Coturnix japonica: one gene and its partner. The protein of the gene in region 2 interacts with the protein of the main gene of each other region in a biochemical or structural test. Links are inferred from orthologs where the notes say so. Each region holds a gene or a part of one and is shown on either strand. Other genes may lie near its edges.

What was found. The genes of interacting proteins can lie anywhere in the genome.
Region 1: the proteins of SHC1 (region 2) and FLT4 form a complex in vitro, tested with the Homo sapiens proteins (2 studies listed by BioGRID). The link is inferred for Coturnix japonica from reciprocal best matches to the Homo sapiens genes SHC1 and FLT4.

Annotation. Positions count from the first base shown.
Region 1 is NC_029528.1:4,692,231-4,698,441, reverse strand, and holds part of FLT4 (vascular endothelial growth factor receptor 3), read left to right. Parts: coding exon 1-59; intron 60-308; coding exon 309-415; intron 416-673; coding exon 674-809; intron 810-1,387; coding exon 1,388-1,492; intron 1,493-2,423; coding exon 2,424-2,537; intron 2,538-2,747; coding exon 2,748-2,836; intron 2,837-3,131; coding exon 3,132-3,279; intron 3,280-3,702; coding exon 3,703-3,797; intron 3,798-4,229; coding exon 4,230-4,352; intron 4,353-4,655; coding exon 4,656-4,767; intron 4,768-5,133; coding exon 5,134-5,233; intron 5,234-5,674; coding exon 5,675-5,780; intron 5,781-6,211. UniProt on the Homo sapiens protein: Tyrosine-protein kinase that acts as a cell-surface receptor for VEGFC and VEGFD, and plays an essential role in adult lymphangiogenesis and in the development of the vascular network and the cardiovascular system during embryonic development.
Region 2 is NC_029540.1:1,436,203-1,441,981, forward strand, and holds the end of SHC1 (SHC-transforming protein 1), read left to right. Parts: 5' UTR 1-256; coding exon 257-859; intron 860-1,034; coding exon 1,035-1,105; intron 1,106-1,492; coding exon 1,493-1,556; intron 1,557-1,706; coding exon 1,707-1,826; intron 1,827-2,242; coding exon 2,243-2,296; intron 2,297-2,420; coding exon 2,421-2,472; intron 2,473-2,614; coding exon 2,615-2,741; intron 2,742-2,844; coding exon 2,845-3,013; intron 3,014-3,213; coding exon 3,214-3,274; intron 3,275-3,379; coding exon 3,380-3,547; intron 3,548-3,623; coding exon 3,624-3,886; intron 3,887-4,047; coding exon 4,048-4,176; 3' UTR 4,177-4,923; downstream 4,924-5,779. UniProt on the Homo sapiens protein: Signaling adapter that couples activated growth factor receptors to signaling pathways. Participates in a signaling cascade initiated by activated KIT and KITLG/SCF.

The DNA.
Region 1 (6,211 bases), on a different chromosome or scaffold from region 2:
GTGCAGCGTCTGCAACGCTAAGGGCTGCGTGAACTCCTCAGCTAGCGTCTCTGTAGAAGGTACCAGCAGACACAACACACCCTAGGGATGAGAGCATCCAAGTAGGGGTGTGTCAGAGGTCCCGTGCCTCTTCCCTGTGATGCCAGGCTGCAGGGTGGCAGGGAAAGCACTGAGAGCATCTGTAGTCCAGAGCATAATTTGATTGGAGCATGTCAACACACAGCTCCTTGGTCTCCCCACATCATGGAGCAGATCCCAAGAAACAGCCAAGCCTTTTCTCAAACTGCACTTTTCCCCCCACCCCACAGGCTCTGATGACAAGACCAACGTGGAGATTGTCATCCTGATTGGGACTGGGGTCATCGCTGTTTTCTTCTGGATCCTCCTTATCCTCATCTTCTGTAACATCAAAAGGGTACGTGGTTGTCTTCATTCTGGGGAAGAAGAGGGGGCTCAGATGGGCTTGGGGCAGCCCCATTGCTGTGGTGTGGGGCTATGTGACAGTGTCTGCTGAAAGAAGGTCGCTGAGTAGTGCTCCAAGCACCCTGACTGTCAACCAAGGATGGGGCACGTAGTAAAGATGGGGACATGGAACAGCCTTTGCCAGGGGAAAGCGGGTTGAAGGAGGCAAAGGAGGCATCTTCTCATGCACTGTGTTGGGTGATTCCTGCAGCCTGCCCATGCAGACATCAAGACCGGCTACCTGTCCATCATCATGGATCCTGACGAAGTGCCCTTAGATGAGCACTGCGAGCGCCTGCCCTATGATGCCAGCAAGTGGGAATTCCCACGAGACCGCCTGCGCCTGGGTGAGCTGAACCCCATCCCTGCCCCCACGTGCTGCATGCAGAGCTTCCCACCAGCCCCTGGAACTCACCCTCCAGATTTCTTACACAATCAGGGCAAAACAGCCCAATTCATAGGAGATATCCTGAGTTCAGGACTGGGATAGGATGTCCTCGTGCTGTGACATCCATCTGCAATCTCTTCCCTCTGTCTGGGAGAGGTGTAAGGGCTGCAGACCTCCTCTGAGACACAGAGCAGTGACATTAGCCCTGTCTGTTCTGCTGCAAGGTGTCTTATTTACCTTTTCCACTTGTTCTGTTTGAGGGCAACAAACAGCCTCTCACCACATTAGGACCATTTCCTTCCTCCACTTTGTCCATGCCAGCTCTCAGTTCCTCCCTTCATCCTTTCTCTTATTCTCACCTCTAAAGCAAGCAGCCACCTGGGAAGGGCAAATATTGCACTCCTTCCTTTTCCTTTATGACTCTTTTTCTTTCTTCTTTCCATGTTTTCCTGTAAGGTTTTTTGTGTTGTTGTTTTTTAGCCTCATTCTCCATCCTGCACCTGCTTTCCTTTACGGTGCCTCTCTCTTTGCTCATAGGTAAAGTCCTGGGTCACGGTGCTTTTGGGAAGGTGGTGGAAGCATCTGCTTTTGGGATCAATAAAAGCAACAGCTGTGAGACCGTAGCAGTCAAAATGCTGAAAGGTATGAGGACAGCCTCGTAGAATATGCAGTTCACATGGATACAAAGGATGACAGGGAAAGCCTGCCTTGTAATCATCCTGTAATTCAGTAACCAAGAAAACATTATGGCAGTTCATGGTCAGCAGTGGCCTGTATATAGAAACTGAATCATGGTGTGGCTCAGCAGCACTGACACTGCAGGTGTACAGACGATCTGCAGATCAGTAGCAGAGGGAAGCCTGGCTGTATGAGGCTGTTTTACAGCTCTTTGATGCATGACTCTTACCTGGCCCTTCAGCTGCAGCTCAGGAAGATGCTTCTCTCTTTGTCAAACTAAATGTGCAAACTCCCAAGTAAAATGTATACAGGAAGGCATGAAAAAATGCACATAAAACCAGAGAATGAACCTTGAGGGTAAAACAGAGGAGCAAGAATTGGTGTGAATTAAACACTCAGGGAGAAAAGGCAGCAGAGAGCTGGCAGGAGCACAACCCTGTGCTTGCTATTGGAAAGGAATTATCAAAAGGCCTTCTCAAAAGGTTGGAGTTGAGGCAGTCCTGCCTTCAGTCACGATCAAAAGCCTTTTTGTTTCTAATTTCCCTTCAAACGGTTTTACAGCTCATTATCCCTGCTTGGAGGCTAAAAGGGCAGAGATTCAAACGTGTGCATCTGTATGTAAGCCTCAAGTGATCTTTTTCTCTGCACGGCTATCAGAAGGAAAATTGTGTTGGACACAGGTTGTGTTCTTGCTTTGGATCCTTGCTCCTGCATTACAGCATTAAAGACAAGGCTCTGCTATTCAATTTGGAAATAAGCAGTAACAAAATGTAGGAAGGCTTTGGGATTGCAATCTCCAACAAGACTGACATTATCACTGTGCTAGGAGAGAGTGGCAGGGGGAGAGAAAAAGCTGTGAGGAGGCATCACCGTGATGTGGTTTGTTTGTTTCCAGAGGGAGCTACTGCAAGTGAACAGAAGGCACTGATGTCAGAGCTGAAAATCCTCATTCACATTGGGCATCATCTCAATGTTGTGAATTTGCTGGGAGCCTGTACCAAACCCAATGGTAAATATCACAGGGCAACAGGCTGAGCCTGCTCCCAGATATCACTGCTCATCCCCTGTGCCATTTCTTCTGGCCATATATGTGACTGTGGGGATACGTGGGGGTGTGTGTGCCTAGCCCTGGTGCCACTGCTCAGCAAGGCTGATATAATGTGAATCAGGGCAAATTGTGGCTATTGCAGATCCTTGTCTCTTCCCCTGCTCTCATTAGGTCCACTCATGGTTATCGTTGAGTTCTGCAAGTATGGCAACCTCTCCAATTACCTGCGGACCAAGCGAGAAGGATTCAGTCCCTACAGGGTAAGTAACCTCCTTTATCCCTAGGAACTGCCCCATGGATAGGGGGGGAAGACATGCATTCAGAAACATAATCTAACAATGAGGGAAAGACAGCCTCTGTCTGGCAGTATGTCAGTTTTTCACAGAGATGCTGGTTCACTGCAGCATCAGGGAAGAAATTTCTTTCTGCGGAGGAGGATAAATGCTTCCAGGCCAGAATTACAGTCTAAGAGCAGGACATGACTGTGCAGCTCATGGGTGCAGGGGATGCTGTGTGTGTTGCCTGCTGAGGTTTTTGCTTTTATCTTCTTGCCAGGAGAAGTCACCCAGGCTGCGTATTCAGGTCCAGTCCATTGTGGAGGCAGTGAGAGCAGACAGAAGGAGTCGGTCTGGGACTAGTGACAGTGCTCTCTTCAACCGCTTTCTGATGCACAAGAGCCAGACAGCACAGCCAATCCAGGAAGGTAATACCTCACCTGGCTTGCCAAGAAAATGACAGACTTGCTTAAACTGGAGAATGGGCTACAGCATGGCAGTGGGCAGCAGGGACCCATCCACAGAGCTCATCTCTCCACTGCTGTGTGGCAATTCCCTCAACAGGGCTATTGTATTAATCTCCTGTCTCTTGTAATGGACTTCAGAAACCCTAAAGGAATGGTTAAATTAATTTAGATTTATTTTTTGGCTTAAAGAAAGATGAACAGAAGGGGTTTCTCAGTGGGTCCTCCCTTGGCAGGAATGATGATCTGACCTTCAGAGTCCCTTATAGCCATACAGGACTATCTAGTATCTCACCCTGGGGCTGTATGTATCCTGCAGTTCTAGAGAGCAGCAAGTGGGACACAAGACAACTCAATGTCTAACCATGTTTTTGTACCCCTGGACAGTGGATGACTTGTGGCAAAGTCCCTTGACAATGGAGGACCTGATCTGCTACAGCTTCCAGGTAGCAAGTGGCATGGAGTTCCTCTCCTCCAGAAAGGTGAGCACACACCTTCCCATCCTCTATTCTTCTTTTGTGCATGCCTGACTGGAGATGGCCTGGTGTGGTCTGTTGTAATCACAGATCATGTGTGTATGTATGTACAGGTTCCCATGGACAGCCAGTCTCTTTGACTGGCTGTTTCCAGTTTCACGTCCCAGTTTGTGAAATCATTTTATGATTTATTACTACAAAACCCTGCACACAGCTGGGTTACAGACATACAAAGGTGGGAACTTGGCTGTATTGCATTCTGTCAACCCCTTATTTATCTCCTTTAAAAATCTTTATTTTTAGTTCCTTCTCACCTCCCCAGTTCTCCTATTACAGCTCGGGTTAGCAAGGGAAGAATAAGGGAAGGGAATGCTCTGCACTTTATGATGGCAGTTCCTGTCCCTCTGATTTTGCTTCTTCCTCTTCATGTGCCTTCAGTGCATCCACAGAGATCTAGCAGCTCGCAACATCCTGCTGTCTGAGAACAATGTGGTCAAGATCTGTGATTTTGGCTTGGCCCGAGACATCTACAAAGACCCTGATTATGTCAGAAAAGGCAGTGTGAGTACCATCTTGGGGATGGACTAAACTAAGGAAGATAGAAAAAGGCAGGAGTGGAATCATTTGTGGCTGGGACCAGGAACCATTGGCCTGATGATGGAGGTGCAGTCTTCCATCACCACCAGATTTGTCTCCTTCCTTCTGCTGCTCAGCCCATCAGCACTCCTCTATCTTTATACTCTTCCAGTGTCTTCATCCCTCCTTCTGGCTTCACCAAACCTCCACTCCTCCATGGAGGAAGGATCAGGGCTATTGTCTCTGGTTCTTGAATGAACAGTTCTGCATTGCCTCTCCTTCCTGCAGGCCCGTCTCCCACTGAAGTGGATGGCTCCAGAGAGCATCTTTGACAAGGTTTACACTACCCAGAGTGACGTCTGGTCCTTTGGGGTCCTCCTCTGGGAAATCTTCTCACTGGGTGAGTGCTGAGGGGCACGTGCTGCTGAGGCAGGAGGGGCTTTTGTCCCACCTAGCAGCTCGGTGGATGAATCTGTGCATGAGGCCCTTGTCTCTGCAGCATGTCTGAGGAGTGATGGGAAAGACGTCAGTCTGGGCAAAAGAAATACAGAGGCCATATCCACCAAGGAACAGGGTGATGGGGGGCAGCTTCTTCCTTACTGAGGCAGAAGAACCTGTCTTGGTCAGAACTGATGTGGGCTGTGCATCAGAAGTGACCACACATCCCATGTGTTTTAGGAGGAAGTCCTTGTCTCAGGATAAGAATTGTTTTCTGATGGCACACTTCATCTTCTCACTTCCTCACCCTTTTTCAAACCTCTTTTAGGGGCATCTCCATACCCTGGAGTCCAGATCAACGAGGAGTTCTGCCAGAGGCTCAAAGACGGTACCAGGATGAGAGCTCCAGAGTATGCTACTGCAGAAATGTGAGTCAGAAACATCATGGATTCAGGGCAGGGCAGGCAGATGCAGAGACTGTTCATCCACTATTGGGAAGAGACAACCTCTCCTCTCTTGGTGGCTGCCTGGAGGGTATTCCAGATGGGTTCAAATGCAGGACAGATCTATGGCCACCAAATTTTGTGCAGAACCACGTTGGGATGACTTTGCAGATGGATAATGTGCTTTCCCACTCTTGAGAGTAGCTGAGGTGTCTAAATTGGCTCTGTCTGAGCTTGCAGTTGTATTCAATACACAATGAACCTCCTTCTAGTAGGTCCACAGGGCCCATGTTCAATTTGCTGGGTACCAAGGTTTTCTTCACAGCGCAGGTACACTCTGTTCCAGCAGAAACCACGTGGGTTAAAGCTGTAGAGTGTAGTAGAAAGGGATTTCTGTGACATAAAACCATCACCTCTCCTTGGCAGTTACCGTATAATGCTGAGCTGCTGGCATGGTGATCCCAAGGAGAGACCAACTTTCTCAGACCTGGTGGAGATACTGGGGAACCTCCTTCAGGAAAATGTCCAACAGGTAAAAACCCTTCTGTGTCCCTGCTCGGTTTTGAACAGCCAGCTCAATGTGTCCTCCTCTGACTCCCTAGCCAATCAAAGCCTTTGTGAAGGCCATGGGTTAACACTGTGTCTCCAGGTCTGTCATTCAGGGGTACTGGAGACAAGAGCTCTGCAGTAGCCTTCTTGTTGCATCCTATTATAGTTCCAGTCCTTGCAAAGCAAGTGTCCTCTCAGTCGTCATTCTGGTATTTCCATCCTAATCTCCAGATGATTATTGGAAATGTTTCAGCTGACTCAAGGCCCTGGCACTCCTGCCTCCCACATGGCTGCATAATGAAAACCAGGACTTCACCAGGGCTTCTGAAACTCTATCTTCAGATCTAAATGTCAGGGTCATACGAACCAAATAACTGTTCCATTACAGAAATCAGATGTACGTAATTCTGAGAA
Region 2 (5,779 bases):
GAGGACCTCCCAGCTGTGTGCTGGGTGTGCTGAGACCCCCCCATCACCGGGTGCACCGGGAGCGGGGCTTGCTGCCCATCTATCCGGATCGCTGACGCTGGTTGCTATCGATCTGCTGGGACTGCGTGGAGCTGGTTCTCCTCGTGAGCCATGAGGGGCTGGAGGGTGCCTGGCATGGAGTTCAACCTTAACCTGTACATGGGGGAGGACTCCAGGAGGCTGTAGGCGCTCTATGGGGTTGCTGTGAGGGGTGGGCATGCTCCAGCCCTTCTCTCCTCTTTCCACAATGGATCTCCTGCAGAAGAGCAAATACAGCCACCTGCGGAACGAGTCTGTCTCCTCCCTGGAGGAGGCTGTGGGAGCCTTGGGGACCCCAGTGTCCCCTGTGGAATCCCTTGAAGGCATTCGGTCACTGCCTGGCTCGCTGTCATCCTCCTCCCTCAGCCCCATGCTGCCTCTCGGGGAGCTCTCATCCGAATCTGAGGACAGCCCCACCACCCTCTGCTCTTTCTTCCCTAAAATGGCCAACCTGAAGCTCTCCAACCCCGCCAACCTGCTCAGCCTACGGGGCTCATCGACCGGCAGCCTTAAAGATACTGGGAGCTCAGGGCAACCCGTCCTAACCGGGACGCTCACACCGACACCAGGGGGAACAGCCAGCACTAACTCAGTAGGACCTGTCACTGTCTGTTCCCAGGATATGAACAAGCTGAGCTGTGCGAAGAGGACGCGGGTGGAAGGCGGCCAGCTGGGTGGTGATGAATGGACCCGCCACGGCAGCTTTGTCAATAAGCCCACGCGGGGCTGGCTGCACCCAGATGATAAAGTCATGGGGCCTGGGGTCTCCTACCATGTCAGGGTGAGTGCTGGGGTGTCTCTATGGGGTGGGAGTGGGCTTTGGGGGGGGGCTCGTTGTGGGTGGAGGTGAACAGCACAGTGTGGGGACCTGTCCCCTCTTTGCTTATGGGCTGCCATGGGGAGGTGGGGGAGTCAAAGCGAGCCAAGCCCGATGCTGACCCTGCTCTCCTCCATAGTACATGGGCTGCGTAGAAGTCCTTCAGTCCATGAGGGCTTTGGATTTCAACACAAGGACTCAGGTCACCAGGTGAGCCCTGGGGTTGTGTTGGGGGCTTGGGGCTGCCCAGGGTGGGTGTGGAAGTGGAACCAGGCTGTCTGCAGCCATGGAGGAAACTGCCAGGAGATCGATGAGCCTGTCAATGAGCTCGGTCAGGCAGGAAGCACTCCTGCAGCTGCATCAAATATTAACAGCTCGCTCTTCCCCTGTCCCTGCCGGGTCTGGGAATCAGCCTGCACTGCCTGAGGGCTTCCCTTTTGTTCCATGCTTAACCCTGTCCCTTCTGCACTGCTCCTCGTGTCCTCTGCCCAGCGGTGCCCCATAAATATGGCATTGATAGCAGAGCTTTGTCCCTGTGCTGATGCAGGAGGGGACAACAGGGACCCCCAGGCTGACGCTTTGCTTTGCTCCATGCAGGGAGGCCATTGGCCTGGTGTGTGAGGCTGTACCTGGTGCCAAGGGAGCAGTGAGGAGGAGGAAGGTGAGGCTGGACTTGGGAAGCTGCTGATGGGAGCAATTTGAGGGCTGGATCTCAACCCAGCCAGCAGTGCTTAGGGGCTCTGATTGCCCCCATGGCTCAGCATGGAGTGGTGGTGGTGATGAGTTGCCTAATGCTGCTGTTCTCCCCCAGCCCTGTGGCCGCTCTCTGAACTCCATCCTGGGCAAGAGCAACCTGAAGTTCGCCGGCATGCCCATCACCCTGACCATCTCCACCAGCAGCCTCAACCTCATGGCCTCTGACTGTAAGCAGGTGAGAGAGGGAAGCTGCTGTGGGCTGCACTGCTGCCTTCAAACAAGCAGAGATCCATGCATCCCCTTCAGGCCCTGCTGGGGGTGTTCCCATTCTCCCTGGGGATGTGTGGTTTATCTGTGTTTCCTGCTGAGTGCTCATCTCCTGGTCCAGCATGTTCCACCCCATCCATTCCTGGTAGCAAAGGGATCTGAGCAATGCCCTGAATGCCTTGTGGGATCTGTGCTCTGGACCTTGAGACCCAAGTCCCTCAGCCTTGGATGTCTTTTAGTCTCAGTAGCTCTGCTGGTGTCTCAGCCCTTCCTCTGGTTGCCTATGGCTCATAACCAGGGCTCCTGAAGTTTGTTATCCCCACACTGGGCCAGTGCTAGGGTGGGCACTGAGGAGCTGCACCTAACAGTGCTTCTACCTTTCAGATCATTGCCAACCATCACATGCAGTCCATCTCCTTCGCTTCTGGGGGTGACCCGGTGAGTTACAGAGGTTCCCCAACCAGCACATCCTACCCTGTGCTGGGGATCAGAGCCTCTCCTGCCTTCTCCCCTAAGTCTTGGGCACTGAGCAGCCCTGGCTCATCACCACTCTCTCCCACAGGACACAGCTGAGTACGTCGCCTACGTTGCCAAAGACCCCGTCAACCAGAGAGGTGAGGCTGGAATTGCAAGAGCCCCATTTTGGGTGCAGCTCAGAGAGGGATTGGGTCCCTGCAGGGAATCTCTGGGGTGCACAGGGTGGGATCAGGGGGTGTAGGATTTAATCCTGCTCTCATCTCGCTGTTCCCTTCCCAGCCTGCCATATCCTGGAGTGCCCTGAGGGCTTGGCCCAGGATGTGATCAGCACAATTGGACAAGCCTTTGAGCTGCGCTTCAAGCAGTACCTAAAGAACCCCCCGAAGCTGGTGACACCCCACGACAGGTAAGAGAAGGGAGAGATGGGGGTCCATGAGGTCTATTGGTGCTGGGAGGGGATGCAGGCCTGGCTGCTGTCAGCTGTTCAGCTGTGTGTTGTTCCCTTCCAGGATGGCAGGGTTTGATGGTTCAGCCTGGGATGAGGAAGAGGAGGAGCCTGCCCCAGATCACCAGTACTACAACGACTTCCCTGGCAAGGAGCCTCCTATAGGGGGGGTCGTGGACATGCGGCTGCGGGATGGAGCTGCGCAGACCCCCAATCACCTGGGGGCCACACTGGTAAGGCGCTGAGCGTGTCTGCAAGGGGCTGCTGGGGAGGTTCTGCTATATAGGGGAGATGCAAGGACCCCAATGGGGCTGTGGGCTGCACAAAATCCACACCACGCTTCTGTCCAGCACCTCTGGCAGTCCATACTGGGGTTTGGGGAGGGGTAAGAGTACAGCAAGGTCTTTTGGTCTCACCATGTGCCTCTCTACAGCCTGTTGGCCAGACGTCTGGTGGGGAATTTGACCCCAGGAAGCAGCACGGTCCCGCTCAAGGTAATGTGATGGATGTGGCTGGTCCCCATAGGCTTTCCTGGTCCCAAAGTGCTCCAGCAATAAGTGCTGGTGCCGGAGCGCTGCTGACCACAGCGCTTTGTGCAGCAGGAAGAGAGAAATACCCACCTGCAGCGGGTGCGTCCGGCCGTACGGACCTATTTGATGACCCATCTTATGTGAACGTGCAGAACGTGGACAAGACACGCCAAGCAGCAGCTGCAGGCAGCCCTGCAACAGCCAACGGCAGCGCCCAGCGAGACCTCTTCGACATGAGTGAGTGGGGACAGCAGCTGCAGGCTGTGCACTCTGTGCTGGGTGTGTGATGGAGCCCCTTCCTTTTCTCCTGCAGAGCCATTTGAAGATGCCCTTCGTGCCCCCCAGTCTGTGCCCGTGACCGTTCCTCCTGCCCAAGTTGTGGCCTCCATGGAGGAGCAGCTGAGGAGGGAACCGTGGTATCACAGGAAGATGAACCGCAAAGAGGCTGAGAAACTGCTGAAGGTGAATGGAGATTTCCTGGTGAGGGACAGCATCACCACCCCGGGGCAGTACGTGCTGACCGGCCTGCAGGGTGGGCAGCCCAAGCACCTGCTGCTCGTCGACCCCGAAGGAGTGGTGAGTCTCTATAACCCCAAAGCTTGGGGGGCCCTACATCTCCCCACAACCCCACCTTGGGGACACCTCCGGGCTGGCTTAGGGGATGGAGGAGGCCTGGTAAAGCATAGAGGGGACTCCTGGGTGTATCTGCAGCCTCTTGAGTTCCCTATTCCCTGCAGGTCCGGACAAAAGATCATCGTTTTGAGAGCGTCAGCCACCTCATCAGCTACCATATGGACAATCACCTGCCCATCATCTCAGCTGGCAGCGAGATGTGCCTGCAGCAGCCAGTGGAAAGGAGACTGTGAGCTCCAGGGGGGCCTCGGTGCGCACCCCCCCACACCCCCCAGCCCTGCTTCCCACCCTGGGGAGCACCTGGACTCAGCCGGGGCTGAGCGTGGACTGCCTTGGGGATGGTCCTCACCCTCCCACCACCACCACACGAAGCTGGCAGCCCTGGGCTGCAGGCAGCGTGGTGTGAGCTGCCTGTGGGGCCGGGGGGCTGGTAGTGCCAAAGCCCCCTCCTCTCCTCCCAGCTCCAGCCTTTTGCTCAGCTCATACCAAATCCCGGCCCCATACGGTGTCAGCACTGGGGGGCACCAGCCCAGGGCCGGGTTCTGCTCCAGCCTGGTTGGAACTGGGGGTGGCCAGGCTTCATCCCATGAGCAGCACCAGCCCCGAGGGGTTGGGGTGGGGGGGATGGAGTGGGGGGGGCTCACCCAGGGCTGTGCCCTGCGCTCTGCTCCCCAAGCACAAACAAGGCCCGGCCGGCCGCGCACCGAATGTACCCGATCACTTTATGTGTAACTGTGCCTTGACCCCGCAGGTCCCACACATATATGCAATGCAGCCGGGCTGGGGTGGGGGGGCTGCCAGCTCCTTCATGCCCTCCAGGTCCTGCCAAGCCCCTTCTCGGGCACCTCCCTTAAAGCCGGAGCTGGCCGGGTCCCCACTGCATGCACCTCGACCCCCCCCCGAAGCCAAAGCGCAGCCCAGCCCCGGCCCCGCTATAACCAAAGGATCCGGCGGTTCGTATTAAAGTTGGTATTTCTTTACGATGCGGCTGCTGTGTTGGGGAAGGGGCGGGTTGAGAACCTAAGGGGGTGGCGGCCGGGACCCCTCCCCCCTGAGCCCCCTCCCCATGGTTCCTCCCTCCCCCCTGAGCCCCCCTAACGTGGTTTCTTCCTTCCTCCCCCCTGGTCCCGCCTCCCCCTGGTTCCTCCCCCTCGTCCAGAGCCCCCTCCCAAATGGTTTCTCCAGCCTGAGCCCTCCCTGCCCATGGTTTCCTCCCCCCAGAGCCCTCCTCCCTCGGTTCCTCCCCCCCCGACCCCCCCCCGACCCCCTTCATAGGTTCCTCCTACCCCCCTGACCCCGTCCCATTGGTTCCCTCCTCCCCCACCCCCAACTGTGGTTTTCTTTTCCTCCCTCCTCTCCTGAGACAGCCTCCCTATGGTTTTCCTCCCCCCTAAGACACTAACGTGGTTCTTCCCGCCCCCCCCCTCTAAAAGTGGTTTCTTCCTCTCTGCCCCCCGAGGCGCCTCCCATGTTCCTCCTCCACCCCTGAACCCCTCGGTGGGTTCATCCCCCTGAGCCCCTCCCCTGGTCCCTTCCCCCCCCCCGAGCCCCCTCCCATCTGGTTCTCCCTCCCCCCTGAGCCCGCTCCCATGGTTCCTTCCTTTTTCCTCCCCACCGACGCACCCTAACGTGTTTCTTCCTTCCTCCCCCCTAAGCCCCCTTCCACATGGTTCTCCCCCCCTGAACCCCTAACGTGGTTTCTACCCCCCCGCCCTAACTGTGGTTCCTTCTCCCCGATAGATTTTGATTCTCCCCCTGAGCCCTCCATGGTTCATCCTCCCCGCCCCCTAACATGGTTTTCTTCTGTTCTCCCCGCCCCTAAAGCGCGTTCATCCC